4 linked regions of the Struthio camelus genome follow. The protein of the gene in region 3 interacts with the protein of the main gene of each other region in a pairwise test. Links are inferred from orthologs where the notes say so. Each region holds a gene or a part of one and is shown on either strand. Other genes may lie near its edges. The genes, in order: SEC22A, RPRM, TMEM79 and TNMD.

Evidence for each region.
Region 1: the proteins of TMEM79 (region 3) and SEC22A interact in binary tests that used the Homo sapiens proteins (3 or more experiments, as listed by UniProt). The two-hybrid records come from large-scale screens. The link is inferred for Struthio camelus from reciprocal best matches to the Homo sapiens genes TMEM79 and SEC22A.
Region 2: the proteins of TMEM79 (region 3) and RPRM interact in binary tests that used the Homo sapiens proteins (3 or more experiments, as listed by UniProt). The two-hybrid records come from large-scale screens. The link is inferred for Struthio camelus from reciprocal best matches to the Homo sapiens genes TMEM79 and RPRM.
Region 4: the proteins of TMEM79 (region 3) and TNMD interact in binary tests that used the Homo sapiens proteins (3 or more experiments, as listed by UniProt). The two-hybrid records come from large-scale screens. The link is inferred for Struthio camelus from reciprocal best matches to the Homo sapiens genes TMEM79 and TNMD.

What each region holds. Positions count from the first base shown.
Region 1 is NC_090947.1:33,818,733-33,826,325, reverse strand, and holds the start of SEC22A (vesicle-trafficking protein SEC22a), read right to left. Parts: upstream 3,557-7,593; 5' UTR 3,395-3,556; intron 3,320-3,394; exon of another isoform or gene 1,593-3,319; intron 1,336-1,592; 5' UTR 1,107-1,335; intron 1-1,106. UniProt on the Homo sapiens protein: May be involved in vesicle transport between the ER and the Golgi complex.
Region 2 is NC_090947.1:45,059,067-45,064,903, forward strand, and holds RPRM (protein reprimo), read right to left. Parts: upstream 1,226-5,837; coding exon 857-1,225; 3' UTR 796-856; downstream 1-795. UniProt on the Homo sapiens protein: May be involved in the regulation of p53-dependent G2 arrest of the cell cycle. Seems to induce cell cycle arrest by inhibiting CDK1 activity and nuclear translocation of the CDC2 cyclin B1 complex.
Region 3 is NC_090971.1:3,915,029-3,922,958, reverse strand, and holds TMEM79 (transmembrane protein 79), read right to left. Parts: upstream 3,124-7,930; 5' UTR 2,758-3,123; intron 2,150-2,757; 5' UTR 2,071-2,149; coding exon 1,353-2,070; intron 1,124-1,352; coding exon 910-1,123; intron 663-909; coding exon 461-662; 3' UTR 115-460; downstream 1-114. Other genes in the region: nonsense-mediated mRNA decay factor SMG5, read left to right, coding at 3,737-3,813.
Region 4 is NC_090952.1:21,964,903-21,973,233, forward strand, and holds the start of TNMD (tenomodulin), read left to right. Parts: upstream 1-5,162; 5' UTR 5,163-5,215; coding exon 5,216-5,263; intron 5,264-5,382; coding exon 5,383-5,517; intron 5,518-7,700; coding exon 7,701-7,841; intron 7,842-8,331. UniProt on the Homo sapiens protein: May be an angiogenesis inhibitor.

The sequences.
Region 1 (7,593 bases), on a different chromosome or scaffold from region 3:
ACACACTTCCTCACTCAACTCTTAATACTGCTCTGTAAACACACTACAGCTATGACTTCAGAAATTACGAAAAAACAGGTGTTTGCCTCCCTCAGAAGGTGCACTGAAGTTCCATGTAGTCAAAAACTGAAAAAGAAAACATTTCTGAATACAGCTGAAATGCTCGAGTGTGCAGCACTGACACATCTATAGCACCTTTCAAAACCACGACATTAAGGGTGCTTTACAACACTTAGCAACTGAAGGACTCTATTCTAAAAATTAGGAATCAAAGTTCTCCCAAAATAGCACTGCCTCTTTGCAAAAGAGCAGGAAAAAGCCACTTTTTCCTGAACTCCTGCCTCCTCTCTTTCCCCCTGCACAAAGGGTTTACACCTGGATATTTTTGAATAACAATCAATATTCACGTTTCTCAAGAATATTTACTCCTCACAGAGAAAGTTGTGCAATAATAGAAACATTGAAAATTGGTTGCAATTTTCAGGTTAAGAAAGAAATTCAGCTGCTTCTTCAGCGGCAGCCAAACTTCAACCTGCTTTCAGATGAGTTATGTTAACTTAGCAATATGAGTTCCAAATGAATGCCCTTCTAACTTTATAGTGCATCAGACTTTCACCAAAGTTGTAACAGCAGCAGAAGCCACTGCAGCCACCGAGAGCCTCTGAGCCCTTGCCGGTTCCTACCTACGACAAGCCTACTGGTGCAGGTAGGCTTCTTAATCCAGCATCTCACCACAGAATTCCCTAGTGTACAAAATGCTTTGATCAGAGTTGGATACTTCAGAATTTCCTCTAGGTTAGTTTGCTAGAGCAAAGCATTCTAGAAATTTAGCCTACAGTTTTGGCAACTTGTATGTATCTGCACTTATGTTTATGCAAGTCTCCCAGTAAAACAAGTCACATGAAATACAGACCACACACACGGCACTCGTTTCCTTAACTACGCTGCCAACCACATAACCCTGGCAGTGGCTCACAAGCATGACACAATCACAGGGGATGTAACGTTTCTCGGACAACAGCTGCTTTTATCACTTGGGACTCTGGGAGCAACATCAGAACAATAATGTGATAGCAAAAGTTTATAATTCCCCTTCATTAACTTACTTGCACAAAACGGAATTTCATGGATCTGCATTTCCTCTGGTGAAGTAACTTCATTAGCACCTAAAGGGAAGAAAGGACCCACAGCTCCATGTCCTGTCTTAGGAAAAGGCCGCAGGTAAGACAGCAAGGCAGGAGAAACTCAGAATCCTGAAGCCAGCTCTCCGAAGAAAAAATACTGTTCTGTTTACTTTTTATATGATCTCGATCACTGAAGTTCATGTCGAGCTATCTGATGAGACAAGATTGAATAAATTAATACATGCATTTTGTGGCTAACGCTATTATTCAATTCTTTTTGTGAGGCCATGCTCATCAGAAACAGTTTACTAAATCTCCAAAATGAAAACGCAGCTTTTACTTGGCTTTCTAAACAATCAGGCTCCGCAGAAAGCACCAGCTGGCACGTTTGATACAGACATATATACACAGAGGCTGAAGAAAGAACATTAAGGATATAACAGAAAACATAGCTGATTCTTCACAAACCATGCCGTTAGCCAGGGGAACTCCTTGCCACAGGATGACGTAGATGCTGAAAGTTTAGGTGGATTCAAGAGGTAACTAGATAAGTTCACAGATTAGCTAGAAGGGTTACTCTATCGAAAAGACTACCCCTTGCTCAGGAAGGGCCCGACCCACAAACAATGAAAGCACACTACGGCAAAATCACTCTGTGATGGTGCCAGTGTTACGCTTCTCTGTACGCATCTGCTTCTGACCTGTCTTTACGGATTTCCCCTTACACTAAAACTTCACAGGCCTCTCTGAAAATCGGGACAGGGAGAGTTCAAGGAAAAGAGAAACATGGAGAAACCAGACCACAGACGGGAAAGAGTGACCCAGGTACGGGCGTTCCTGTGTTACTGCACTCTCCCTAAACCTGCCAGAAAATCGTCCACACTCTGCTGCTTTCACAAATGGGAATTATTATTCCTCCCATTAGAGGGAAAACTGGGATGGTGCAAATCAGAGCCTGTTACTGTATTTTTTTAAAGATAGATCCAGTTATCATCGAGTTTATCTATGTGTTATGGATGACACTTGGTCCTGAGGCAGCATCAAGAAAAGTCCTAGAAAGTGGTCTCTATTCCAGCCTTCCTCTGTAAGGGATTGGCCTTTCAGTTTGACATATGACAATATGAGTTTTATACTTATCTGTCTTCTCATAACTCTTTACGAGAAAACATCCAAAAGTGGTCTGTGAAAACGGTTTGCTCAGGATACGCCAGTCTTTTAAAAACAGACTAGCTTCAGAAAAATTGAAAGATATTGTAAATAAATGTAGTGTCATGGCAGACCTACTCTCCTGCACCCGCGAGCTTTCAGCATCTCCTTAATTAAGCCTTCCTTGCCAACATGCCTGCCTCTCCTATTAACACTCCATAAAACACAAAATTGGGTTGTGGTTGCAAGCCAGGCGGCTCCTTGTAAAAGCAGAACGAAGATACGGTTTCCATGCTTACTTCAAGCATACAAGAGAGCCTCAGAAAATTTGTTTTCCTCTCTTTTGCAGGCTGTGACAGCTGTATTACACAGGGAGCAATCTCAGTCTCCCCACTCCTCAGCACCCTTTAGAAACCCATTCCGCCACCGAAAACACTGCCTAAGGATGGGAGATAAATAAAGCCACTTTGACATTATCAGCTATGATCGGACTAGGAAATAATCCCAAACCACTAGCCCGTATAATCCTTCTCATAAAGAAGAGGGAGGGGGAAAAAAAAAAAAAAAAAAAAAAAGGAGAGCGCAGCGCTTCAGACCCCCGCAGGGCCCGGCGAGGCCCGAGGCCCAGGGGCCGGTGACCGACCCTCGCCCCCAAAAAAGCGCCCCCGCGGGAAGGGGCCCCGCGGCTTGCAGCCGCGCCGGGCTAACCTCCCCCTGAGCAGGGCAAAACGCCGGCAGCCGCCTCAGCACCTGGATGTTTCAGGACAGGACACGGAAGACTTTCGCCCCTAACAGCCACCCTCGCACTCGCCGCGCTCCCCCCCCCCCCCGGTAACGCAGCAGCGGCGCGGGGAGGGGGGGCAGGAGAAGGAATCGGAGCCAAATGTCTCTTGGCTTTACCGGGCGACCCCTGCGCACCCCCCCGCCCCGGCACCCTGAGGGAAGGAGGGAGGCAGGGAGAGAGGGAGGCCGGCGGCCGCCCCCTCCCCAAACGGCGGCGGAGCCCCTTCCCCGCCAGGCCCCGCGAGGGGGCCGGGCCGGGCCCGGCCGGGCGGGGCGGGGCGCGTCGCTAGGCAACGGCGCGCGGCAGCGCCGGGGGAGGTGGGGAGGGGGCGCCCAGCTACCTGCCTCAGCGCAGCGGCGGCACCGGCGCGCGCGCTGCCCCCTGCCGCCACCGCCGCCGCCTCCCGCCAGGCATTGTGGGTACCGTCCACGTCCGCCCGGCGGCTAGGCGGTGGCCGTCACGTGACGCCGACGCGGCCCCGCCATTGCTCCGTGGGAGGGGCGGGGCGGGGGCGTCGCCATGGCGACGGGCTGGGGCGGGGGCGCGTTGGGATCTGGGCCTGGAGCGTCGCGCCGGGCCCGGCTGCCCCGGGGCGGCGGCGGCTCCTCGCCGGGGCGCGGGGCTTCTCACCCCGGGGGCTCGGGGAAGGGAGGGGGGGATCCTCACGTTACGGCCCGAGGGGACCCTGGAGGCCGAGGGGTGCCGCTGGGCGCCATTTCTTTAGGCGGGGCCCAGGCACCGGGGCGGCTGCGCTTCATGCCGCCATGCCACTCGTGAGGGGCCTTGCCAGAGGACCTGCCGCCCCCGCGGACTGCAGCACTCACCGGCAGGCCGAGCGGTCGTGGGGGCTGCGTTTGGCTGGTAGCTGTTGCCGAAGGGTTGAAAGGCGCCGGCTGTGCACCTGTCGCCGAAGGGCGCGAGGGCGTCGCTCGGGTCTCGGCCCTCGGCCCTCGCGTCCTTCAGGAGCGTCTTCAGCACGCTCCTGCCTCACGCATCTTGGCTAAATGCTTACTACCCTGGTTTTCTGAGGAAATGAGGCTTCGTCATCACGCCCTGTGGGTTCTCTTGTGTAATAACTTGCAGCTATTTGGCCGGTTTCAAATGAGTTTGAGCAGAAGTGTGTGGAGCACGCCATATGCTTAACGCTATATAAATAACACTATACGTGTTTTTGTGTGTTTTCTGATCAGGCAGCACACACAAATGCAGATCAGGAGGAAGTACAATGACATAGTTGGCACCAGAAAAAGTGCACTAAGATGACACGCAGACTGCCATACCGTAATTTTTGTCGTTCTCGGAGAAATCCACTGGGCATGCTTTGAAAATAACTGACAATACCAAATTGAAAGTTTACCAATCTCATTACTGATCCCAAAGTGAGAGACCTGTTTTAAAACTGCTTTCTTTAACAGTACAAGAACAATTTTCTTCCTGTATTGCTCTTCAGCTTGACTTTTTTCGGATTGTGTCATACGGTTTTAGTGCAACTCAAATCTTAAATGAAAGTAGCTTATTTCCTTGCTAACACCTTTTAATTTCTCCTTCCATCTCTCTTACTACTTAACTGTACACGTTTTTTAGCATTGCACAGTACCGATAACATACGTCCTGCACTAAACTCTCTGGTTCTACTGAACTATATTCAGGAACCAGGTAATAAGGAAGGCAGCATCAAAGTACATTAATACTCTCCAAATTCAAGCTTGCCTTCTGTGGCAGCGTAAACTGTTTCAGCTGGGCACTTAGGGCAAGCCCAGACACCAGCAGCTAGTATGAGTCATGTGTCTCCTTGCTGCCTAGCCTCGAGATAGTAGGTGTGAATGCCAGTGATTCAGGTGTAGCAAAATGCTTTCTTGGATCCACGAGCAACCAGGTGTAAGTTGTTTCTGCTGGAGATAATTTAGCCCTTTCAGCCTTCAAGCTTACTACCACGCTTCAGGCAAAGCTCAGTCGAGCTGAAGACTCTAGCTCTCTGTGTCAAGCTTTATTGTGAGAAGGTTTACAAGGTTAAATACAGCTATAGAGTTTAATAACAGAGATGGAGGGAGGCAGTAAGAGGTGTTGGCAAAAGAGAAAAATTGTTTTCCGCGGAGACTCGAATGAGACGGAGAATGGATGAGGCAGAGCAATAGAAGAACGCCACAGCAGATGGCAGGAGCACCACCCGGACACTATCAGGAGTAGGGAGACTGTATGAAGGAGAAAGACGGGAGTAGACACACAGGCAGACCACTGCAGGAGAGGAATGAGGCGAGGTCACCTGCAGACGTTTGATGAGATAGTTCCGCTTTGAACGTTAAAAGCGGCACACACACACAAAAAAGTCATACCCTGGAGACCACTGGGGAGAGAGCCTCTTCTGAACGCATTCTCACCTGCCACGGTGGAAGTCAGTCGTGGCAGAGGAACTGATGAAGTCTTTGCTCCGCAAACATGTCTTCCTCAGCCTCACGGGGTCTGTGTGTTCAGTTAAGCTCCTTAACATTTCCAAATTAGAATCTCAGCCTGTCGGGAAGAAACTGTGTCCCCTGTGGGGTTTTTTTTAGAACTGAGCACAGGAACATGCCCGTCTTGACTGACTAGGCCCAACTATAACATAAGTTGCAAAGATAATGCGCTAATCTAAATAATTTCCACAGAGTCCTTATCCTGTATAAACAGAGTGCACGGTATTACAAGCTGCTACACAGTTTAATGGCATGTGATAACATCTACTATAATGCTGAGAAGTAGTGATTGCTTAATTAGAGGCTGCCTAAAGGTTTGTGATAAGTGCACGTGTGTGTCATTTTAATTTTTCTGCTTCCTGACTGTGAACTGTTTATCTTTGAACCCGAAAATTCCCTTGACCGTTTGTAAATGTTTTGAAGAGAAAAAGATAAGAATTTTGTGTTTCTATAAACAGAACTTTGGAAATTATATACACATCTATTCATTAAGCCTTATACCTTCTTACGAGAAAAAGGTAAAATTCTCTATAATCAGGTGAAGAAACTGGCCCCAGGAGGTTAAATAAATTGCCTGAGGTCACTGACGGAGTTGGGGCAGAGTCAGAAATGGAATTACAGCTCCAGAGCTCCTGACTCCCTCATGGTGCACTTAAATCATACCCGTTATTCAAGAATTTGCATGGCTAACAAGCCAGTTACATTTCAGATATCTTTCTTCCTGTCCCGTTGACTCCCCTAAGACAACGAAGCAGTAAAACATTAATAGGGGGGCACCATGCACTGAATAAATTAGTGAAAGCTGCAGTGAGAGATAAAACTGAGATTCCTAAGAACTAAATCCAGTCAGTGTAACAGCAAATAAGTGGAGGAATGTAGGTATTTTTAAAGGAGGAGGAGAGATAAAGAGATCAAGAGGACTGCAAGGCTGGGAATGGACAACTTCAAAGGTTAAGTGAGGAAACTGAACTTTTAAGCACCGGTGCCAAATAAGTCCCTGTGGTGTCAAAACCCTCCAAGATGGCAAAGAGGTGCTTATTCATGAGTACACCAAAATAGTGAAATATAACATGTGATAGCTTATCATGTCATCAGCCAAGCGAAGACAAAAACCCAGCAACTGAGACGTGTTAGCGTGGGATTTAACCCACCAAAGTTTAATGGTTTGAAAACCGCCCAGTGTGAAGCACCTAGTTGTTGCTATTCCTCCTCAGTCACTGCAGGGGGAGCCAACATGACCAGCCTCATTTAGATGCCTGGTTTTCAGATAGCTAAAGAGAAAAGAGGTAATTCCCACCCGTGGGCTTTATCCGCTGTATTTAAGGACAACTTTTAAATCAGGTTTCTTAGAAAAGAAATCTTCAGCCTGAGGAGCCTGTAGTAGTTACGGAGTTGCGGAGTTGTAGAGAAACACAGAGGTAAAGGTCTGAAAGGACCCTCAAAAGGTCATGCAGAAAATTGTACCTCAATTTCTTTGTAGGAAATTAAACTGATAAACACTCAGTGGATGTGGAACACATCAGATCACTGATCCACTTTACAGCCCATTTTTAATGGGGAAAAGTGCTGCTGGGCCCCTTAGCCATCTTGGATTTAGACTCAAATCTGTTCATTCTTTTCTAAAACTTGTGTTTACTAAACATCTGTATAATCTTGTTGCTCCTTTGTCTGGATTTTGTCATTTTTTTCTGGATCTTTCTTAAAGATTGGTGCCTGAAGCTGCAGATATTATTTAAGCCAAAGCTTTAGCTGGAAAACAGCCTAATTATCCCGTAGTGTGCTTCCTGCTTCTTGTATAGTAATGCCAGTTCCCATGAAAACACAGATATAGTGAATCAGTGGCTGTCAGTTTATGTTCAGTAGAGCCACAACTTCACTACAAGTGCTTAAAACTTTGCATGAGGCCTCCAGGAATCAAGATACTGGCTAAGAACTCCTGACATCCTAAAAACTCTGCACTTTGGAAAAATTGCATCTGATTTTAGAGGTTTTAGAGAAGCCCTTCTCCATAATCACAAGAGCTAAAAACATATTAGTTGGAGCACTGATGAAACTCTTAGGCAAGAATGTTAGAATAGTGTTAAAACAG
Region 2 (5,837 bases), on a different chromosome or scaffold from region 3:
CCCCCAAGACCTAGCTGACCCCAGGACCCAGCTGCCCCCCAGGACCTGTCTGCCCCCCAAGACCTAGCTGACCCCAGGACCCAGCTGCCCCCCAGGACCTGGCTGCCCCCCAAGACCTGGCTGACCCCCAGGACCTGGCTGCCCCCCAGGACCCAGCTGACCACAGGACCCTGCTGCCCCCCAGGACCCAGCTGCCCCCCCAGGACCCGGCTGCCCCCCAGGACCCAGCTGCCCCCAAGACCTGACTGCCCTGCAGAACCCAGCTGCCCCCAGCCTGGCTTTTCCCCACTGCCCCCGTCCTGGCTGTTCCCTGGGACCCAGCAATCTCCAACCCAGCTGTCCCCTAGCCCGGCTGTCCCCAGGACCTGGCTGTCCCCAGGACCCAGCTGTCCCCTAGCCCGGCTGTCCCCAGGACCTGGCTGTCCCCAGGACCCAGCTGTCCCCTAGCCCGGCTGTCCCAAGGACCTGGCTGTCCCCAGGACCCAGCTGTCCCCTAGCCCGGCTGTCCGAGGGTCCTGGCTGTCCCCAGGACCCGGCTGTCCCCAGGACCCAGCTGTCCCCCGCTGTCGCCTCCCCGCTCCCCTCCGGCCACGGCGGCGGCGGCGGCCGGGAAACACGGGCGGGAGCCGGGCGCTCCAAGTCGAAGACGTTTATTAAAGCGGCGAATGGACCGGGCCGCCCCGACCCGCTGCCGTCGGAGCGCTCCGCGCTCGGCCGGGACCGGGACAGCGCCGAGGGCGGCGGCGGAGCGCGGCGCCCCGGGAGCGCGCGGGCGGCAGCGCACGTCGGGGCCGCGCCGCCGGGTGCGGAGCCGGGTGCGGAGCCCGGGCCGGGGCCGGGGCCGGGGCCGGGGCGGTCAGTAGGGCCCCACCACCACCGCCTCCACCTCCTTAGACGGGCGACGGTCCTTGACCAGAAAGTTGATCATGCCCTCGGACTTGATGAGCAGGTTGCAGCCGAGGAAGAAGATGCCGAAGACGACGGTGAGGGCCAGGACGCACATGACGGCGATCTGCACCACCCGCATGATGTACAGGCTCCGCTCGTCCGCCGCCGCCGCCGCCGCCCCGCCGCCGCCACCACCACCTCCGCCGCCGTCGGTGACCACGGAGGCGGCGGTGCAGCAGCGCAGCGCCCGCTCCAGCTCCAGCGCCGCGCTCCCGGCGCCCGCCAGCAGCCCCGCCGCCGCCGTCCCGCCGCCCGCCGCCGCCGCCGAGCCGTTCATCCCGCCGCCGCCGCCGCCGCCGGGGCGCCCCGCCGCCGCCGCCGCATGCAGCCGGGCAGGGCGCGCCGTGCCGCTCCGCGCCGCTCCGCTCCGCGCTGCCCCGCGCCGCTGCGCCCGGGCGGCTCCCGCCGGCGGCGCCTCCCGCTCCGCCGGCGGCTCCGCCCCGACGCGCCCGGCAGGGGCGCGCCGCCCCCGCGCAGGGCCCGCGCAGCCCCCTCCTCCCCCGCGCCGCCCCCGCGCAGGGCCCGCGCAGCCCCCTCCTCCCCCGCGCCGCCCCCGCGCAGGGCCCGCGCAGCCCCCCCCTCCCCCGCGCCGCCCCCGCGCAGGGCCCGCGCAGCCCCCCCCTCCCCCGCGCAGCCCCCGCGCAGCGCGTGTCCGGGAAGGGCTCTGGGCGGCGGCTCCGGGGCAGCGCGAGTTTGCGGGTGGCTGCGGGGAGGGGGCTGCGCGGGAGCAGGTTGTGGGGCGGGTTTGGGGGAGGGGGCTGCCGGGGTGGGTTTTGGGGAGCGGGTTTGTTGGGATGGGTTTTGGGGAGGGGGCTTCTGGGGTGGGTTTTGGGGAGCAGGTTTGTGGGGGTGGGTTTTGGGGAGCAGGTTTGTTGGGGCGGGTTTTGGGGAGCAGGTTTGTGGGGGTGGGTTTTGGGGAGGGGGCTTCTGGGGTGGGTTTTGGGGAGCAGGTTTGTTGGGGCGGGTTTTGGGGAGCAGGTTTGTGGGGGTGGGTTTTGGGGAGCAGGTTTGTGGGGTGGGTTTTGGGGAGGGGGCTTCTGGGGTGGGTTTTGGGGAGCAGGTTTGTTGGGGCGGGTTTTGGGGAGGAGGCTTCTGGGGTGGGTTTTGGGGAGCAGGTTTGTTGGGTGGGTTTTGGGGAGGGGGCTTCTGGGGTGGGTTTTGGGGAGCAGGTTTGTTGGGGCGGGTTTTGGGGAGGGGGCTTCTGGGGTGGGTTTTGGGGAGCAGGTGTGTTGGGGCAGGTTTTGGGGAGGGGGCTTCTGGGGTGGGTTTTGGGGAGCAGGTTTGTGGGGGTGGGTTTTGGGGAGCAGGTTTGTGGGGTGGGTTTTGGGGAGGGGGCTTCTGGGGTGGGTTTTGGGGAGCAGGTTTGTTGGGGCAGGTTTTGGGGAGGGGGCTTCTGGGGTGGGTTTGGGGAGCAAGTTTGTGGGGTGGGTTTTGCGGGGCAGGTTTTGGGGAAGCAGGTTTGTGGGGTGGGTTTTGGGGAGCGGGTTGGGGCAGGGGCTGTCTGGAGTGGGTTTTGGGGAGCGGGTTGGGGGGAGCAGGTTTGTGGGGGTGGGTTTTGGGGAGCAGGTTTGTGGGGTGGGTTTTGGGGAGGGGGCTTCTGGGGTGGGTTTTGGGGAGCAGGTTTTGGGGAGCAGGTTTCTGGGGTAGGTTATGAGAAACAGGTTTTAGGGAGGAAGTTCTGGGGTGGGTTTTGGGTTGGGGCAGGAGCTGTCTGGGGTGGGTTTGGGGAGCAGGTTTGTGGGGTGGGTTTTGGGGGGCAGGTTTTGGGGAAGCAGGTTTGTGGGGTGGGTTTTGGGGAGCGGGTTGGGGCAGGGGCTGTCTGGAGTGGGTTTTGGGGAGCGGGTTGGGGGGAGCAGGTTTGTGGGGTGGGTTTTGGGGAGCGGGTTGGGGGGCAGGCGGTGCAGAGCGGGTTCGGGAGCAGGTTCCTGGGGCAGTTTGGGGAGCAGGTTTCGGGGTGCAGCACCCTGCCAGGTGGGCCCCGGCCGGACCGGTTTGTTTTCGGTGTGGGACGCAGACGATAAGGTTGATTCTGCGGAGGGACGAGGGCGCCGGCAGCTCCTTGATGCGGAGAAGGGCGCTGGAAGAGCCGTGCCCAGGCCGCGCCATCGCTTCGGGCCGCGCCGGCGCGCCGTTGGGCCTGGCTCGCGGAGCGAGGGGCGCCCGGGTCGGGGGCACTGCGCGGGTCGGGGGGCGCCGGCCCGCCCCTGCCCTCCAGCTGCGTAGCCGCAACCAGCTCCCTTGCCTCAAAACGTCTGCTGCTTCTGCTTGAAAACCTATGCCCGGAACACCAAGAATGTATTTTAAGGAGTGTTTTGAGTAGCTAAGAAATGCGGAAAAGCACAACGCTCCCCTTCAGCACGCTCCGACGTGCACAAAGCATCTACGGAAATCCGGGGAGAAAAACTACAAACAGTTTGGGTAGTGTTACGTACAAACCTGACAGTGCAATTGGGCAAAGATCACATGTGAGAAGTGCCATAACTCTGAAAGCTAGTCATTGCGTTTCCCTGTGCGGGGTGGTGCATGCTGAGGCTTGCATCTCCCTGTGCAGGGTGGTGCACATTGAGGCTTGCATCTCCCTGCGCAGGGCGGTGCACACTGAGGCTTGCATCTCCCTGCGCGGGGTGGTGCACACTGAGGCTTGCATTTCCCTGCACGTGGTGGTGCACGCTGAGGCTTGCATCTCCCTGTGCGAGGTGGTGCATGCTGAGGCTTGCATTTCCCTGCACGTGGTGGTGCACACTGAGACTTGCATTTCCCTGTGCGAGGTGGTGCACGCTGAGGCTTGCATTTCCCTGTGCGAGGTGGTGCACACTGAGGCTTGCATTTCCCTGCGCGGGGCGGTGCAGGCTGAGGCTTGCATCTCCCTGCGCGGGGCAGTGCACACTGAGGCTTGCATTTCCCTGCACGTGGTGGTGCACACTGAGGCTTGCATTTCCCTGCACGGGGCAGTGCCCGCTGAGGCTTGCATCTCCCTGCGCGGGGCGGTGCACACTGAGGCTTGCATCTCCCTGCACGGGGCAGTGCCCGCTGAGGCTTGCATTTCCCTGCACGTGGTGGTGCACACTGAGGCTTGCATCTCCCTGCGCAGGGCGGTGCCCGCAGAGCTGGAGGAGCGGGCCGGGTGCGAAGCCCGCTGGCGGTGTTGGAGCCGCTGCGCGGGAAGGCGGCTGTGGCCAAGCCGGCGCCCTGCAGCGCCGGAGCGGAGAGGCAGGGGCCCGAGGGGCGCGCAGGTTGCGCTCCGCGCCGGCCCAACGCCAGGAGGGAGCGGGGCGCCGGGCGGCGCTGGCTGGCGCGGTGACATCCAGCGCGGGCAGCGGCGGCCGCGCCGCTCGCCTTGTGCCCCCCCGGCGCCTGCCCGCGGCTCCGCTCTACTCGCTTTGGGTGAGTTTGGGGGGCCCGGGCGTCTCGCCTGCTTCACAAGCGGCTCCGAAACCAGGTGGCCGCTCGCGCTCCTGCTGGTTTCTGTCCGTTGCATCCAAGGAAGGAAAGCACGGCCTCAGCTTGCTACAGTGCAACATAAGGGGTTGTTATTCCTTGATTAAAATAGAATTTTTTCCCTCTAAACAGCAGGCTTGGAAAGCACTTTACGTTATACCCTTAGGCTTACAGGGCAATAGAAACATTTATCTTTGCCTGTCCAAATAGAAAAAGAAAGAAAAAAAATCAATTTCTCTGGAGCCAGTTGCCATTAACGTTCTCCCTTTAGCAGCCCGGTGCAGGCTTCGTCACGGGCCGGCTCAGACTTTTTGGTGGGCTTTTTTTTTCCAGGAGGAAAAAATGCCCTTATCTCCTAGACTGCTTTTTCCTCCGGCGTTCAGAGCCGCGCTGGGATGCCCTTGCCGGCTGCTGGGCAGCAGTCAAAGCCTGCTCTTCCTGGTTAGCTGCTGCTCTCTAGTTGTTGCTAGGAATATAATTAACTTCTTCTGTCCCAAGGATGCTGGGGATTAAGTGACTGGCAAGGCGCGATGCACAACGGATTTCTATTACTTTTCGGTCTTGCAGCTTCCTAGCACGAGCAGGGCTGAGCATCCTTCCCCGGTTGTCCCTAGACAGATCGTTGCTGGCACAGGTTGGCCGTGCTGAAGAGCCACTGACCGCAGTCTGTCCGCAGAAGGAAAGCCGTAAAAGTGATAATAAAGATCTGGTGGTCGGGGGTGGTGGGATTTCTGACCCCGGCTTTCACCCGCGTGGGACCCTGCTAGCTGCGCCGGTACTCGAAGAGGCGGTATATTAGGAAATATCAGATGAAAGCAGCAGATGGTGGGCTTGGACTTAACAAGAGATGATTCTTCGTGCAAGAAGTGTACGCGGTAATCGTAGCTAAGCTGCGGAACCGCTTGCTTTAGGGCTGGCTACGTTTTTTCATGTTTTCCGAAAAGCGATTGAGCAGTTTCCTGGGGAAGGCTGTGCCCCAGGGACTCTTACATCTGCAGGCGTCGCCGCCGGCAGACAAAGCCCCGCGGGAGCACGGGGGGCCGCGGTGGGGCCCTTTCAGCACGCCCTTGCCTTGGCCTTAAAACCTTCGCAGGCGTTGGCTGCCGGCCGCCCTCGCACAGGGGCGTTGGGCATCCCGCGCCGTCGGCCGGACCTGCCAGCACCGTCCTGGGCTTCTCCTACGTGGTCCCTAGCCGGGGGACGGGCTGGCGGCCGACGCGGGAGCTGCAGTCGTGCGGCGACGTTCGCCGAAGCCGGTAAGCAGCGCCTGATGCGTTTGGCCTGTCGGAGATTGGAGAGAGCGTTGGCGTAGCTGCTAGCAAACGGGTGGCACCGCTGCGGGGTGAACCTCGGCCCGTCGCTGCCTGCCGGGGCTGCAGCACCGCATACCTGCTGTCCTGACCCGCCTCCCGGTGTATTTGCAATTAGCTCGTATTTCTCTTGTTTTTAAA
Region 3 (7,930 bases):
ATCTGCTTTTTGCCCTCTGGGAAATATCATTTTGGGGCTGGATGGTGGCATCCCAAGGGCTGTGGGTGCAGCTGCAAGTCCTGGTGGTGAGGGTAAGTCCTAGGGAAATTCAATCATGGAGCCACTTAGTGAAGGGTTTTATTGGGCAAAGCCAACTCCAGCAAGAAGTTTGGGTCCCTTTCACCTGCCCGTTCCCATGAACTGGGCCCTGCTGCTTGCTGGGACTTGCTCTGGGGCCCCCATTCACCCTCCTGCAGGAAACTCCCAGCAGGGAGGGTTTCACAGCCTGGCCCTTGGCATCCCGCAGGATGTTGCTGGCCCCGGGCAGGGAGCAGGGACCCAGCTGGATCTGCCTGTCCCTGTCCACCTTTGAGGCTTGTCCTAGTACATCTCAGCCCAGCGTGAGGAGAGGGCACCCTGGGGGCTGCAAGTGAGCTCCCCGGTCTCCCTGCGGCCCCTCTCACCCCCAGAATCGAAGCTTGTTCCTGCTGTCCTTGGAGGGGTCCTCAGCCTTCGCGCCCACCACGGCGAGGTTTTCGGGCTCCAGGATGAACATTGCGTACAGGTTGTAGAGCAGCATGGCCAGGAGGGGCAGGAAGGTCATGCTGAAGCCGAAGGCGCGGAAGGAGCGCCCGATGGCATACGAGAGCCAGTAGATCAGCCTGGAGACAGGAGACAGGTCGGGGCTGAGCGAGGGCACGCTGGGAGGTGACACCGCAATGCCCAGGGCTCAGGAGTGCCAGCGACAGCGGGGCTTTGCCAGATCCAGGTGGCTGCTGTGGCAAGGGGGACAAAAACTGGGGCAGGAAGTTTTCCAGCACTGATGGACCCAGCTTGGTCCCTCCAGGAACCTGCAATGCCCGGGGCGGGGAAAGAGGATGCTGGGGTGGAGGGTGAGGGGCTGCTTACCGGGAGATGGCGAAGAGCCCCGTGAGCAGGGGGATGAGTTTCAGGGCCTCCTGCGGGAGGTAGGTGGCCAGCACGGCCACGTTGAAGAAGTAGAGGATGAAGAGGTGGACGGACTGGGAGACGTAGGTGCGGTGGATCTCCACCTCCTGCTGCAGCTCCCCAAAGGGCTCCAGCGAGGAGGAGCAGAGGCGGGAGATGCCGTGGACGATCATCCCTGGCGGGGCAGAGAGGTGGCCTGAGCCGGCAGCGCTCGGCGACCGAGGCGCGCGGCGCTGCGGGCTAAGGAAGCCGCGTTGGGGAGAGAGAACCGGACGGGCGCAGCAGGGCGGGAGGAGGGCAGGAAAACTCGGCCGCGTGCGAGTTTTGGCAGGAGTGACGGAGCTGCAAAGAGCTCCGCTCTGGCTTTGCCTGCTGCATCCCGCACCCCCGGGCGCGCGGCTCACCGAGGATGATGGGGAAGGTGGCAAAGGCCGTGCAGCGGAGCGTGTAGACCAGGCGGGCGCTGACGGTGGGCAGGAGCGGCGCGTCGAAGGGCAGGAAGACGTAGGCGCCGTAGACGAGGCAGGGGCAGAGGAGCAGGGCCCCCACCACGGACGCCACGGCCCTGAGGCTGCCGGAGCTGCAATCCACGGCGCAGGGGCACCGGGGCGCCTCAGTCGGCGCCTTGGCCGCTCGCCCCTCGTAGCCCAGGGCGTCCCTGTAGCGCGAGGGGCCGAGGGGGAGGAAGACCTGCTTCTGGCGGAGGCCGTCGGGTCTGTCGCCGCGGGGGAGCACGTAGCCCCCTTCACCCTGCTCCCGGGGCCGCGGGGCCGGCTGCTGCTTCCGCTCGATGCACTGCGGGTCGATGGGCACGAAGACGTGGGCCGCCGCCACCACGGGCAGCCCGTGGGGCTCCTCGTCTTCGGCCTCGGCCGGGGGGCTGGCAGGGCTGGCCTCCTCGGGGTCTTCGCGGCCCCCCTCGGGGCTCGAGCGCCTCTTGGCCTCTGCGGGCTCGGGCTGGCCCTGGGCGCCGTGCTGGCACTGGTCCCACGGCAGGGTGGCCTCGGGGTCCCCCGGGGGCTCGGTGCGGCCGGGGGGCACCTTGTCCAGGAGGGCGGCCGCCGTCCCCAGCTCCAGCAAGGCCATTTCCTCGGGGGGCAGGACAGGGTCGGCTGCAGCCATGGTGTTTCGGGGTTTCCTCCCGCGTTTCGGGGCGGCAGGAAGGGACTAGGAGGAGGATCCCATCCCTGCTGGACTCACCCTGCACGAGGAAGAAGCAGACAGACAAAAAGACAACAGGAATGAGAGGTTTTGGCCCAGCAATCCTCCCCGCAAAATGTGCCGAGGTTTCGGGCTGGGGGATGAGCCGCGTGCGGCTCGGGGCGGCTGGATCCTGCCGGGCCGATCCGAGCGCGGCGCCGGCCGCGTCCCGACACGTGTGCCGGGGAGAGCAGCCGGGGAGCGAGGACAGGCCGGATTTGTTTCCGACTCGGGGCGGGCGCAGGAGGGAGCCGCCGTGCCGCCTGCTGGGGGGGGAGCAGGAGATCCGGGTGGAAATCCCAGATTTTCCCCTCTGAGAGGGCCCCAGCCCTCACTGCCTGCAGGTGCGGGAGCCTCCCGCAGGGAAAATCCCACCGCAGGCGCCTTCCTCCACGCACTCCCGCCAGGAGCCCGGCGCCCCGGCCCGGCTGGGGGCATGGGGAAACCGAGGCACGGTGCGGCGCCGGCGATTTATCCGCGCTCCCACCGGGCAGGGGGCCTGAAACAGCACCCTGGCCGCGTCTGGGCCTCCCCCCGCCATTTCCAAACCCCCCACGGCGGGCGGTGGGGAGGCAACCGGAGCCGGGCTCCCCCGGCCCGGCGACTTACGTGCCGAGAGGACCGGGGGGAGACGGCGGCGGGAGCCCCGGCAGCGCCGCCGCCGCTGAGACCTCTCCGCCCTGGACTTCAAACCTGTTTAACCGGCGAAGGTGGGGCCGGGCCGCAAGGGGCTGGCGCAGCCGCCTGGCCCCACGGGGCGGACGGGCTGAGCCCCACGGGGGAGGCCTCCCCCATGGCGGCCGCCAGCCTGTTTTCCTCGTCGCAGCCAGGGGTTTCGGGCGGGAGGAGCCCCCGCCTTGTCCCCTCCGCAACCCCTTCCTCCCCCCCAGGCCTGCCAGCTGCCCCCGAGGGCTTTTCTGCTGGCAGGGAGAGGGCAAAACGGAGGGCGGCCCCCAGGCCGGGCAGGCCCGAGGAGCACCCCAGCATCGTCACCAGGAGCTGGGGGACTCCCAGGGGGTCCCTTGGCACCCGTCGAGGGAGCTGGCGCCGGGGGAGCCCCCGAGGGGCTGGAGCTGCCTGGATGGGGGTGTTCATGGCGGGGGGGGGGGGTTTCTCCCTGCGGCCCCAGGCCTGGCCTGGCCTGGCCCCCTCCCTCCTTCCAGCTCTGCTTGTGCGTGTCCGCCGCGCGGGGGTAGCAATAAAGCTCGTTGAATGACGCCGGCGCGGCCGCCATGTTTGCCAGCACTAAGTGCTGGCAGCGATGGCGAGGGGAACTCTCGCGAGGTGACGCCGCTCCGCCGCCATGTTTGCCAGCACTAAGTGCTGGCACCGTGGTGGTGGGGAACTCTCGCGAGGTGACGCCGCCTCTCCCCGTCCTCCCCCCCCACAACTTCACCGGTCTCGCGGCAAATCTCGCGATAGCGGGGCGCCAAGTCTCGCGCGGCGCGGGGCAGGGGGCAGCGGCGCAGCCATGGCGGCCGAGCGGGGCCGGTGGCGGCGGCGGCGGCGGGTGGCGGCGGCGGCCGGGCGGCGCGGCCGGTGCTGAGGAGGCCGCGGGCCGCGCCGGGCCTTGCCCGCGCCGGGCGCCATGAGCCAGGGCGGCGGGGCCCCCGGCGAGAGCAGCGAGCCCGAGGCCAAGGTGCTGCACACCAAGAGGCTGTACCGGTGAGGAGCTGGGCCGGGGCCGGGGCCGGGGGGGGCGCTGGGGGCATCCAGGGAGGTGGGTCAGGGCGAGGGCGGGTGGAGAGGGGCAGGGGCTCCGGGGGGGTGTGGGGAGGCAGGTCAGGGAAGATGGAGGGGGGTGAGGGGAGATGGGAGGGCCAAGGGGAGGAGATGGGGAGTCAGGGAGGATTTGGGGGGGGGACCAGGGGGAAGAAGACGGAGGGGGATTCAGGGAAGATGAAGATACTGGGGGAAGGAGATGGGGAGGGGAGCAGGGGTGAGGGGTGGTGTGGGATCCAGAGGAGATGGGGCAGGACATGGGGGGGACATCGGGGGAAAGGGGGCATGGTCAGCTGGGTCAGGATGGGGGGGAGTGGGAGATCCGAGGGTTGCGGGGGAGTGGGAGATCCAAGGGGTGAGGTTGAGACCAGGGGGAAGGAGATGGAGGGGGATCCAGGAAAGATTTGGGGGGAGGGATAAGGAAGGGAAAGAGGGTGTGGGGGGTCTAGTGAGATGAATCAGGACAAGGAGGGTGGAGGAAGGATGTGTGTGGGATGCGGGGAGATGGGGCAGGATGTGGTGGGGGGCACTGAGGGAAGGAAGCGTAAGGGATGTAGGGGGATAAGGCAAGATGTGGGGAATTCAGAGAAAGAGGGAGTTGGAGAGGGAAATCATGGCACTGGCAGCGCACAGGGAAGGCACAGGAAGGGGTGGAGAAGAGGGTCCGGTGAGCAGGTGCTTAGGCCAGGACATATTCCAGCTGCACTGGAGGGCAGGACTGCTCCAGCTGCAGATTTTTCCCATTAAAACGCTTCCTGGGAGTCCACTCTCCCTTCCATCTCTGCACTGCGCGTTCAAAACGGTGTCGGAAGATAAGATGCAGGAAGTCACGGTGGCCTCGGTCTGCTCACCCCAGCAAGGACGAGGTGCCGTTCTGGCAGCGCTGCGCAGCAGTGCCGCACACCCCAGCTGTGCTGAGCGCTGCAGGAGGCTCCTCTGGGGAGCGGGAGCCGGGAGCCAGCCTCTGCTCTGCCGGTGACTTGTTTTGTGCCTGCGGCCCACTCATTGCCCCCTTGCGTCTCAGTTTCTCCATCTGTAGAGCAGATTCATACTGGAGTTTCGGGAGTGACAATGTGGTTTCTAAGATGAGCAAGACGGTGAAGGCAGGAAACGGAGTTCATGCTAGGGTCCGTTTCCAGTTATCTTGCTGACTTGCTCGATGACATTGGGCATGTCCTTTCCTCTCTTGGAACCTCGCTGCCCTCCTAGGTAAAACAGGGATAGCTTTGTGTCCCTCTGAGAAACATGATGAGATCCTTGCCTAAAAGTCCAAAGCAGTAATAGCAGTTTGAATGCTAGCTGCTAGAATTTGTTTCTGTGTCCCTGGGGTGCTTCATACAAACCTGTCCCCTGCACTTTGAAGTTACATTACCTCTTTTTTTTTTTTTTTTTTGAATTGCAAGGCTTGTGGTAAAATGCAATGGCTTGGGTTACCCAAGGTGTGGGCTTTGCTATCACACTGGAAGCGCCTCCAGGGCCATGGAGCTCTGTGTCTGCTGTCAGATCAAAATACCCTGTTTGATCTTAGGGGTGTATTCCCCCAAGTGCTCGTAACTGAGCTAGTGCAGCATAGCAATGTACCTTCTGTCACCTGAGGAGCAGTGGCAGGGATTGGAGAGGATGTGTTTGCTCCTAGGGCACCCCGCTTGCAAAATAAAATACATTTTGTTTAAACTACCTTCATGTTGGTTTAAGACCTGTTTTACTTTGCGGTTACAACGGGTGAGGAACGTGTGTGGGCAGTAGTCGTTTCGTAGCTCGGCTGACAAGCGGTAACTCACTGTGCTACTGAAGCTCACAAGTGAAAGTCCCTTCTCATGCGTTTGGTCATTAAGCCAAGGAAGAGGTTGTTCTCTGTTTACGTTTTTATAGCAGGATTAGGTGCATGGTTGCTTATAGCATTTTTACAGCAGAAAGCCACGTTCCTCCAGACGTCTCTTTTCTTCTGGCTCAAAGTAAGTATTGTGATCTTACTGCAGCGTTTATAATACCTGCAGTGGTCACAAATTTTCTTGCTGTGTAGCCGATAGGTCTCTTAGCAAGCTTTCTACCTGAACAGACTCTCTTGTGAAATTTTCTGCTTCAGCCTGAAGTTCGGTTAGACGGGGTGGTAACTTTCTCTGCTGTGAGAAGTACTATATTCATTGAACTTCACGTGATGGCTGACTACTGTCTCTGGAAACTTTGGCCATCAGGTTAGATTGTGCCTTTGAATCGCAGATGTTGGAATGTCACAGTCCTTTGCTATAAAACATGCTCACATGGGATCAGCTTTGTGCCAGTTGGTTTGTGAGAGCAGCAGGATTTGGGCTCAGGTCTCTGCAGCCCTTGGCCGGGGCTAGCCAACGACACTAGCTACGACAGTGTCCCTTTGGAAATGAGGTTGCTCATCTCTGTTCGTAGGATGGTCTTTGATCTTTTCCATTTAACTCTTCCTGGATTGATAATCCCAGGGTTTCACCCCAGAATGTGGCCACTGGATTATACTGGGTGCTGTTTGACAATGTACTCTTTAATTTAAGATGACCACGTTTCTTTTACCTTATTCTGGGTAACTGTTGCTTACTGGCTTTGCGCTACTCTTCTTCTTATTCTGGGCAGTATTATTTGTGTACTGACGTGTGCTGGAATATAGATGAACGACCGCAGCTTCTCTCCTTGAGACATGTCGTGCTCCTCAGAGGCTCTTAGTGATGTATTAGATAAAGAGATAGAGAGCACGAATCATTCTCCCTGCCATCTTGCCCCTGTCCCAGAATGTTAATGGCACAGAAGGAAAGTGTTGGATCCATTCCTGCCTGCTGAAGTGGACTTGGCACTGGACTTTTTCCACCCTGCTTGGCATGATGTGCTGCGCTTGGTTCTTTTAATAGACTGGTGTCTGATTTGCTCCCTCCCTTTCTGACATGCTGTCTGAAAGCAAGGTTTAAGCCCAGCAGGTACAAAAATGGGCACTGAGACAAAATTTGACTTCTTAACCCCTAAGTATAATTCAGCCCATGGTCTCAGGCCACCCAGGGGCCAAACTGCTAAGCTGCATTTTAGTCAGTGTGCAGTCTGCATCTCCTGCATTGGTATTCCCTAACTTTTTGAAGTGAGCCTATCCCCTGTCCCTTTTTGTCCTCGTTGCAGCCCCTTTCCTCACCACCTGCAGCCTGGGATGCCTGCAGTTCTTTGGTGGTTGTCACAGTCTTCCTCACTGCTGCCTCTGCTTCCCCCAGCAGCAGCCTGGAGCTCGCGCTGATGAGAAGACCTTTCAGCGTGGGGTCTGCCTTGTGCCTTGTAGCTCGGCAACCCACATCCTAAAAGATGAACCTTGTTGCCCTGTGGTTTTTGAGTTGCCAACCCTCTGTTTCTTTGTGAACCCATAAAAAGTAACAGAAAGATCGGTGTCTCCAAGCACCCATCCCTGGCTGTTAAAGGAAAGTGTGTTGTGTGGGAGACACCCTCCAGGATGCCTCCTGCTCTGTGCTGGAGGGGAAAGTGAAGTACCCTCCAAGGTCCATGCTGAGATGTCCCTGGAAGGAAACTTTTGTGCACTTTATGTTTGGCAGGCGTTTGAGCCGTGGTGCATGTGAGTAGGCTTGTCCCTTAACTCCTTGATTGCATTTCTTACCCACTGATACCGCTGGCAGCCAGGTAGCTGCCCGTTTGCTTGACTCTCAGAAAGGGGACTCTGGCAATTGCCTTTTGAGTACTTCATGTGATTTCATGGGTGTTGTGTTGTGCAGTATCAAGATGCGTTTCTGTCACTGCTAAACTCAACCAGATCCTTAGATGAGACTTTGTGGCGCTCTTTTAGCTATTAAAAAAAGAGAGACTTGTGTGGCGTATAAGCACTACTGAGCAGTGAGGGAACTTGGACCGTGTGCCCCTAAAGGGAACTGAATTTAGTAAATGGCAGAAGACGGGGCCGCTGTGGGGCCTTCAAGTGCCGTTAACTTGCACGTGAGGATGTGTACGCAGGTTGGCCCCTGTCCTAAGGGTTGGCTGTGTCCTTGGATGCAGGTGTCTAGTGCTTGTAGTCACCGAGAAATCATTTCCCACCTTGAGATATCAG
Region 4 (8,331 bases), on a different chromosome or scaffold from region 3:
ATCTTAATAACCCATTCAGCCTTAAACTGTTTCTAATAAAATGGTTTTCTGTGTGACACCAATACACACACACAGCTTTCAATTACATTTTAGCACTCCCCATAGGAAGTAGCTCCTTTTGGGGAGAAGTGACTTGTGATAGCACAGGATTATGGGTTTGGTCTTTGCATTACAGATATTCAAAGCCTGGTGGAAAAAACAAATGCTCGGCACGTCTGCTATAGCTGAAGTGAGCCTTGTGCATGGGGAAGCATTTCTGAAGAAGTTAAGTATTTGAAATAAAACCGTGTAGTCATCTAGTAGAACAGAGACATGAAATTGTTATTTATCAAGATGAAACCAGCGTTTGGATAAAATTCTCTGGCTCTGTTAATAACGTCTGTTGACAAGGGAGTCACAGCAGCAGGAAGGAGGCAGACGTCCCCCTAAGCCGGCGGCAGTGGCGGCACGGCTCTAAGAAGGAGGATTTTTCATGGGCTGTGAGCAGGGAGAAGAAGCATGTGTCTTTGCTAACAAGTTTCTGAACGGCTCCTTCGGAACGCCCACCGTGAATTTATCTTGTAATACGCTTTCCTAAAGGTTTGTCAGCTTTGAATAATCTGCTGCGGCTACAGATTTCCGGAGGGCCACGTGACCGCGTGCGTCTTGTTCGTGAAGTCCAAAACCCTCAGCAGTTTTCTCAAAATGATTAAGTTTCTTAACCTAAATCAAGCATATCTCTGGAGTTTTCTATGAGCACATGAACTTAAGATAAACAGTGAATGATGAATAGGCCAATTACTGAAACCTCTCTTCGGCAGAGGCTGTATGCGGCTCCTTGATAAGAGGAGATACGCGGTCTCTCACCTGGCAAAAGTTTCAGAAAACAGGGTACTCTGAAGCAGAAAGCGCCCTGCGTAATCAGCCCAGTGGCTAGCAAGCGATTTCCTTTTATACGCGATTTTTTTTCCCTTTTGTCCCTTTGCTGCCCCAGCTGCTGGACATGGGAGGGGAGGGAACGGCTGGCCCGGCAGGCGTGCCGCAACCACCCCGCTTTGGGGTAGAGCCCCCCAGAGACCTGAAACACAGCAGCGTCGCTGCCGGCTCGTGCGACGGAGATAAGCCTCCCCTCTCGCCGGGCGAGCGGACGGGCGCCGCTTTGCCCGCCCGGCAGTAAAAGCCGCGAGCCGCCGCGTCCCACAGCAAACGGTATGATTTACTTACTACCTATGGAATTGCCCAATTAATTCACTATCCACATTAATATTATGGCTCATTTTTAACTTTACTGCCTCCGTCGTTCCAATTTAGTGCTGCTCAGAGATGCTGCCGCTGACCTTAATGGGTTTTTCATTATTATAAAGAGCGCCGTATTAATCACGGTTCGTTTTCTGCTGGAGGTTGCTGTCCGAGCCCCACTGCTTTGGGGAGCTGCTTTTTGGCGTAGCCGGGGCGGCTTCGTTTCTCGCCGCAGCTGACGCTGTGCACGGACTGGAGCGCTGCCCAGGAGGAATTTCGTGGTATCACGTTTCCAGACACACGGATGTTACGCGGCAGTCAAACTACATTATGGACACGATAAAGTTTTCAGGGCAAACGGGAGCGAGGAGCCCCAAAAACCTACAGGACGCAGCACTCAAAGCCAACGAGCCTCTTATTGTCCTGTATAAAAATCAAACGCCTTTTAATCGTTTGAAATGTTCTTCTGGGTATCAATTAGTCACACGTTCTATCAGGATCGCTCTTCTTCCTCTGTTCGCATCAGATTAAATTCTCCCCCGTCGTACAGACTCGCGCTCATTAGCTTCTAGGAGCATTAGCGGCTCTTCCCCGTCGTCGGCGCTGATGGAGCGAACCTCGGAACGAGGCTTTTTTTTGGACCAAAACCCTGATCGCCCTCCTAAGGCGATCCCATTTCCCCCTCCCAAACTGTCGCCTTTCCGTTCCCTGGGGCGAGCGGGGCGCCGGCCGGGGCTGCCTCTCCGCGGGCCCCCGCGCAGGGAGCCAGCCCTCCGCCAGCCCGCTTCCCCAGGCCTCGGAGCAGCGCCTCGCGTTTCCTAAACCTGCTTTATTGCTTTTCGGCCGAATTTTATCGCTGTTTCTGTTTTAACCCCAAAGTCTTTTTTTTTCCCACGGACCCTCTGGTGGAGAAGGGAAAGAGTTACTCCTTCCTGCTGGCCGGCCCGGCCGAACTTGGCAGCCCGCGGTGGCGCGAGGCCGCCCGGCCGCTACCCTCGCTGTTCTCCCGAACACTGCCCCGCTGCTCGCGCGTGGTGCCGTCCTCCCAGACACCTCGCCAAGGACTCGTGATATTTATTGAGTTTTATTAACTTCCAACCCGGGGAGTTTCTCACCTCCAAGAGCTAATTCAGACGCCTGGCTCCTGCCGGAGTTACAGTGATTGCCATTAAGAAGCTTGACATTTACCTTACAACAGTAATAAAATAATAATGCCTAATTTGGTGTACGAGTGGCATTTGCAGCGTTTGCTGTCCGTAGGATGGGGGATACTGCGAATATCGCTGCAACGTTGATCACTTACGGCTGCTTAACAGCGCTGCTGTAATTCTTCCCTGTAATCATAAAAGTCGAGCTTCCAGTAGAGCTGCTTCAAAGTTTTCCTTTGAAACGGCAGGAAAAGAAAATGTTTTCAGTCCAAAACAGACATTCCAGTTCCCAGTGAATAACAAAAGCTTTGGAGGTGAAAGTTTGCGGTGAAAAGAAAAACGTGGCATAGAGACGCAGCGCCTGCCTGCTTTGCCGCGTTTAGGTTGCCAAAGGGCTGCAGACCTGCTCCAGGGCCCATGACTGCCTTCCTTAAAAACGGACTTTTCTCCTCCAAATAACCTGCCGCCACTGACTCGTGGCTACGATTGCCCTCCGTTGGTGGCTTCGCACAGACTGAGAACCAGTATGTGTCACCTTCTCAGGTGGCTGCTGCTGAATGAAAAGAAGAGACAGTCTCTCCGGAGCCGCCACGTGAGCAGCATGGGAGGAGCGGCAGCGGGCACAGCCCGGCTCCCTGCTGGTGCGCCGAGGGAAAAGGGGCCTGGCCTTGTCACCGATGCCCGGCTCAGCCACCCGGCTCGGCCACCTACCTTGGTCACCCAGCTCAGCCACCCAGCTCAGCCACCCAGCTTGGCCACCCAGCTCAGCCACCCAGCTCAGCCACCCAGCTCAACCACCCAGCTCAGCCACCCAGCTTGGCCACCCGGCTTGGCCACCCAGCTCAGCCACCCAGCTCAGCCACCCAGCTCAACCACCCAGCTCAGCCACCCAGCTCGGCCACCCAGCTCGGCCACCCAGCTCAACCACCCAGCTCGGCCACCCAGCTCGGCCACCCAGCTCAACCACCCAGCTCAGCCACCCAGCTCGGCCACCCAGCTCAGCCACCCAGCTCAACCACCCAGCTCGGCCACCCAGCTCAACCACCCAGCTCAGCCACCCAGCTCAACCACCCGGCTCAGCCACCCAGCTCAGCCACCCAGCTCAACCACCCAGCTCGGCCACCCAGCTCAGCCACCCAGCTCAGCCACCCAGCTCAACCACCCGGCTCAGCCACCCAGCTCAGCCACCCAGCTCAACCACCCAGCTCGGCCACCCAGCTCAGCCACCCAGCTCAACCACCCAGCTCAGCCACCCAGCTCAGCCACCCAGCTCAACCACCCAGCTCAGCCACCCAGCTCAGCCACCCAGCTTGGTCACTGGCTCGGCCACCCAGCTCAACCACCCGGCTCAGCCACCCACCTTGGCCACTGGCTCAGCCACCCAGCTCAACCATCCGGCTCAGCCACCCAGCTTGGCCACTGGCTCGGCCACCGGCTCGGTCCCCCAGCTCAACCACCGAGCTCGGCCACCCGGCTCGGCCATGCTGCTCGGCCCCCCGGCTTGCCTGTGTAATTGTAATTAGCACACGATGCACTCTGGGTTTTCATTAGCATCAACAGGTTGGAAAACCAGCGCAGAGCAGCTCGGCGGCGGGGGCCGGGAGCGACGAGCCTGCCCAGAGCCGCAACTTGGCTTTTCTGAGCGCGGCCCCTTTCGGGGGAGCAGGGGTGGGGGGTGTGCTCCCCGCAGCCGGCCGGCCGCCCTCGGAGCAGCGCGCCCTTCAGCAGGCTCCTGGGCAGCTCCACTCCGCGGCAAGGCAGACTGCGCGCCACGAGCGGGGGCCCCCGCACCCCCGGGGGGTAGGTGGCGTGGCCCCCTCGCACACCTCTGACATGCCTGGGGCTTTCGCACATGCCTGCACACCTCCTACACGCATGGTACTCACGCACATGCCTGCACACCTCCTGCATGCATGCTGCCCACCCACATGCCTGCACATGCCTGCACACCTCCAACACGCATGGTGCCCATGCTCACGCCTGCACACCTCTGACACACATGGCAGACACGCACACGCCTGCACATGTGCACTGCACCCCTGCACATGCCTGCACATGCCTGCACACACCTGCACATGCACATGGCACCTATGCACACGCCTGCACACCTCCAACATGTGCATGACACCCATGCACACACCACACATGCCTGCACACCTCCGACATGCACATGGTGCCCATGCACGTGCCTTGCACATGCCTGCACGCCTCTAACATGCACATGGCACCCATGCGCATGCTGCACACACCTGCACACCTCTGATGTGCGTGGCACCCATGCACATACCTGGACACGTGTGCACACCTCTGTCACATGCATGCTGCACACCTCCGATTCGTGTATGATGCCCATGCACACTCTGCTCATGCCTGCATACCTGCAACACGTGCACGGCACCCATGCACACGCTGCACAAGTGTGCACGCTCCGACACACACACACACGCCTGCACACCCCCGACACACACACGCTGCACACATGTGCACACCTCCAACACACGCACACACGCTGCAGGCGTGTGCACGCCTCCGACACACAAGCTGCCCACGCACATGCTGCACGGGCCTGCACGCCTCCGACACGTGCACGGCGCCCATGCATAAGTTGCACACGCGTGCACAGGGCCGTGCCCTGCCCGGCAGCCCCGGGGGCCCCCGCGCCGTGCGCGCGGGGCCGCAGCATCGCAGGCCCCCCGGCGGGGCTGGCGGCCGCCCGGCCGCTCGGAGCCAGGAACGAGCTTTCCCTTTCCCTGCTGGCATGTGCATCCGGCGCCGTCCCAGCTCCACCTCGCCGGCGGCTCCCGTCCTCGTCCCGGCCGCGCGCGCGGAGCGCACCCGCCCGGCACACCATGGCAGGGCCGGCCGCGCAGAGCCCCGACGGCTGCTGCTTTCGGGACGTAAGTGGGTGATTTTCCCCGCCGGCGGGGCTTTGCTCGCGGGAGAAGAGCCCGACGCGCGTGCACGCTCGGCTCTGCCCCCCCCGACCCCTGGATATCGCTCTTTTGTAATTAATCAGGCAGAAGCATCTAAAAGCGGAAAGAAGACCTGCACCGGATACCAGAGCTGTGGGCTGCTCTTTTGCGTGCTGGTGATTTTCCTTACGCTGGTATTTTTTGGTGTAAAATATCTCTGGAGCCCAGCGCCCAAGAAGGTAAGTAAAGCCTCGCGGCAGCGGGGCGCTCGTCCCCGGGCGGCTGCTCCTGCCCGGGCGCCGCTTGCAGCCAGCCCCTCGGACGCAGGCAGCTTCGCAGGCAGTATTTCCTTACGCCGCAAGAATTCACCGGGGTTGGGGGGGGGGGGTCTTTTAAAAACGTTTGTACTGTTCGTATCCGACTTTTACTTTCTATGGGCTGTTTTATTTTTCCCGTCAGCGCGCTGCTCTTCTCCTAGCGGGTAATCACGGGCGGATTGGGGAGGGGGGCTCTACGCCGTAAAGAGTTAAAGTCGCTCCCTTCCACCAGCAGCAAGTTTTATGGCGAGTAAGGAAATATTTTCCATTTCATTTCAATTTATCTTGCCAGAAACCGGTGGAAAAGTCATTACGCCGCGGCATAAAGAGGAGGCGAAAGCCAGGCGGCCGCGGGTCCGATTTCTGACGCTAACGTGTCCGCCACGCGGGGCGGGGGGGGATGGCGGGCCGGGTCGCTCCTCTGCGCCCCGCCACCGGCCTCGCTCACCCCGCCGCCAGCGCCCGAAACGCCCGGCTGCCGGGGCCCGGGGGCCGCTCGCTGGAGGGAGCGGGCCGGCGCTCGGGCCTGGGCCGCCGGGGGGGAGCGGCCCGGCGGGCCGCGAGCGTCGGCCTCTCCTCGGCGAGGAGGGACAAAAGGCCCGCGCGGCGCCCTCGGCCCGGCTCCCTCCCGCCGCGAGGGGGTGAAGCCGCCGGCCTCCCTCGAAAGGCAGCGCGCCCGCGCGCCCTGGGCCTCGCTCGCCGCGGCCTCGCCGGGCCGAAGCGCCGGGGCGGCCGCGGCGCCGGCGCAGTCGCCAGCCAGCGCCCCTTCCCGAGGGGGCGTTTGACGCTTGGATGGGCGCTTGGAGAGCGCCGTTGCTGGCAGGCGGCCGGAGGTACGCTGGCGCTAGGATACGGAGGCGCCGCTAAGAGCGGGAACGGTTTCGTTCCCGCTCCGCGAGGTGTCGGGGGCCGAGCCAGCCGCCGGGAGTTTTCCGCCTGGCCGGCTCCCAGCCGGGGCCTCGGCTCCCCTGGTTTCGCTGGTGCGGAGCGGAAGAAGAAGGAGGGCGATGATGTTTCCGACGGTTTTTCCCTTCGGACCGCCCGATGGGCGAGCGAAAGGAGCGGCAGCGGGAAACCGAGGCCGTTCAGGCGGCCGAGCCGCGCGCCGCCCCGCTCCCGGCGCCTCCGTCTCGCGCGTGGTCACGAGGCGACGGCTCCTCCAGCCGGCCCCGGGGATCTCTCCCGTTCGGAAACGTGAACCAAGGGCAATTCACCTCTTTAAAGAACAAAAAGCCTTTCAAGCTCTCTTCGTAAAGCTGAAGAAGGCAAAAGATCTTTGCGGGGGGGGGGGTGGGAAAAAAAAATAATAATAAAGGTTCCTCCGGAGGGGTGGCCTGGGACGCGTGGCCACGGCTGCCGGCCCCCGCCGGCCGCGGGGACCCGCCAGCTCACGAGAGGCTGGGGGGACATATTTCAGAGAGTCGCAAGCAAGGGTAATTTCTAGCCCTATGAAACATGCGGCGGCTCTCCCGGTAGCGCACAGCTGGCCAAACCCAAACGGGCTGGTTGGCCGCGGCGCTGGCAGAAATAATTCTTCCCGAATAGAGAGAGCAAGTCTAATGTAAGGTGCCTCATGGGATCGCGCTCGCCTACGAATGATTTACAGCGCCGTGCGCGTTTTGTCAGTCAAAACAGGCAGCCTTCCAGCCATTTCAGGCTTCACACTATTTTTTCCATACCATAAAATCCACTGGCACATATATCTCTTTGTAAAAGCCTCGTGCTGACTAGCAAGGGAGGCTCGCGACTGCCAGGGAAGCTCATCGCGCTTGCAGTTTTCAAAGTAGGAGGCGAAGGTGCCCAGCAGGCGCCGCGCTGCCCGGCTGGCATCCGCTCCCGTTGAGCAGCTGTGCGCGGGGACACGTCCGTCCTGAAAACGTCTGCAGGAGGTTTGGAAACCCGCTCACGGAAAGGGCACGGCCACGTCCCCCAAGCTGGGGTACAGCCCTGTCCCCCCCCGACCTGGGGCAGGGGGCACTTTGGAGGGGGTGGGCAGCGTTTACCACCCTCTTTTCCGGAAAGCAGAGCCAGGAGCGCCCGCTCGCCCCGCCGCCATTCGGCGCCCGGGGGGCTGCGGCGACCCCCGCGCGGTTTCGCCCCTGCAGATTTACGGCCTGGAGCACACGTTCCTCAGCAATGGCGAGAAGCAGAAGGTGGTGATGGAGATCGACCCGCTGGCCAGAACGGAGACCTTCAGGACCGGCAACGGCAGCGAGGAGATCCTGGAGATCCACGACTTCAAAAACGTGAGTGCGGCAGGGCAGCCCCTCGGGGACGCCCGGCCGGACAGGACCGCGCCTGCGCCTAAACGTCAGCGCGGGCCGAAAGCCTGGCTGCGCCGGGGCCGATGGGACCCCTCAGGGCGCAGAAGGGTAAACCCCAGCACCGTTTATTCCGGGTGAGGGAGAGCAAGGCCTCCGTGCAGACCGTCTGGGGGTGCTTCCCCAAGGAAAAGATATATATCTACACGAGCTTGCACCAGTATTTAATACTGGCATGGTTCAGTTCCAAGGAAATACATTTTAAAAGCTAGATCTAGTTATCGGATTTACCCTTGCAAAGGAATGCAATCACCATAAATCTATCCCAACCCAGTACATTTATCTGTCTGGAGAGCATTAAAACCTCGTGACAACGTTGTAGGCTCTCTCTGAAACCTAATTAAAATTTGTAGGGAAATACCCTGTGCAGTGACATATGGCAAAATTTTCAGCTAATAGCCTAGCAGGAACTGAA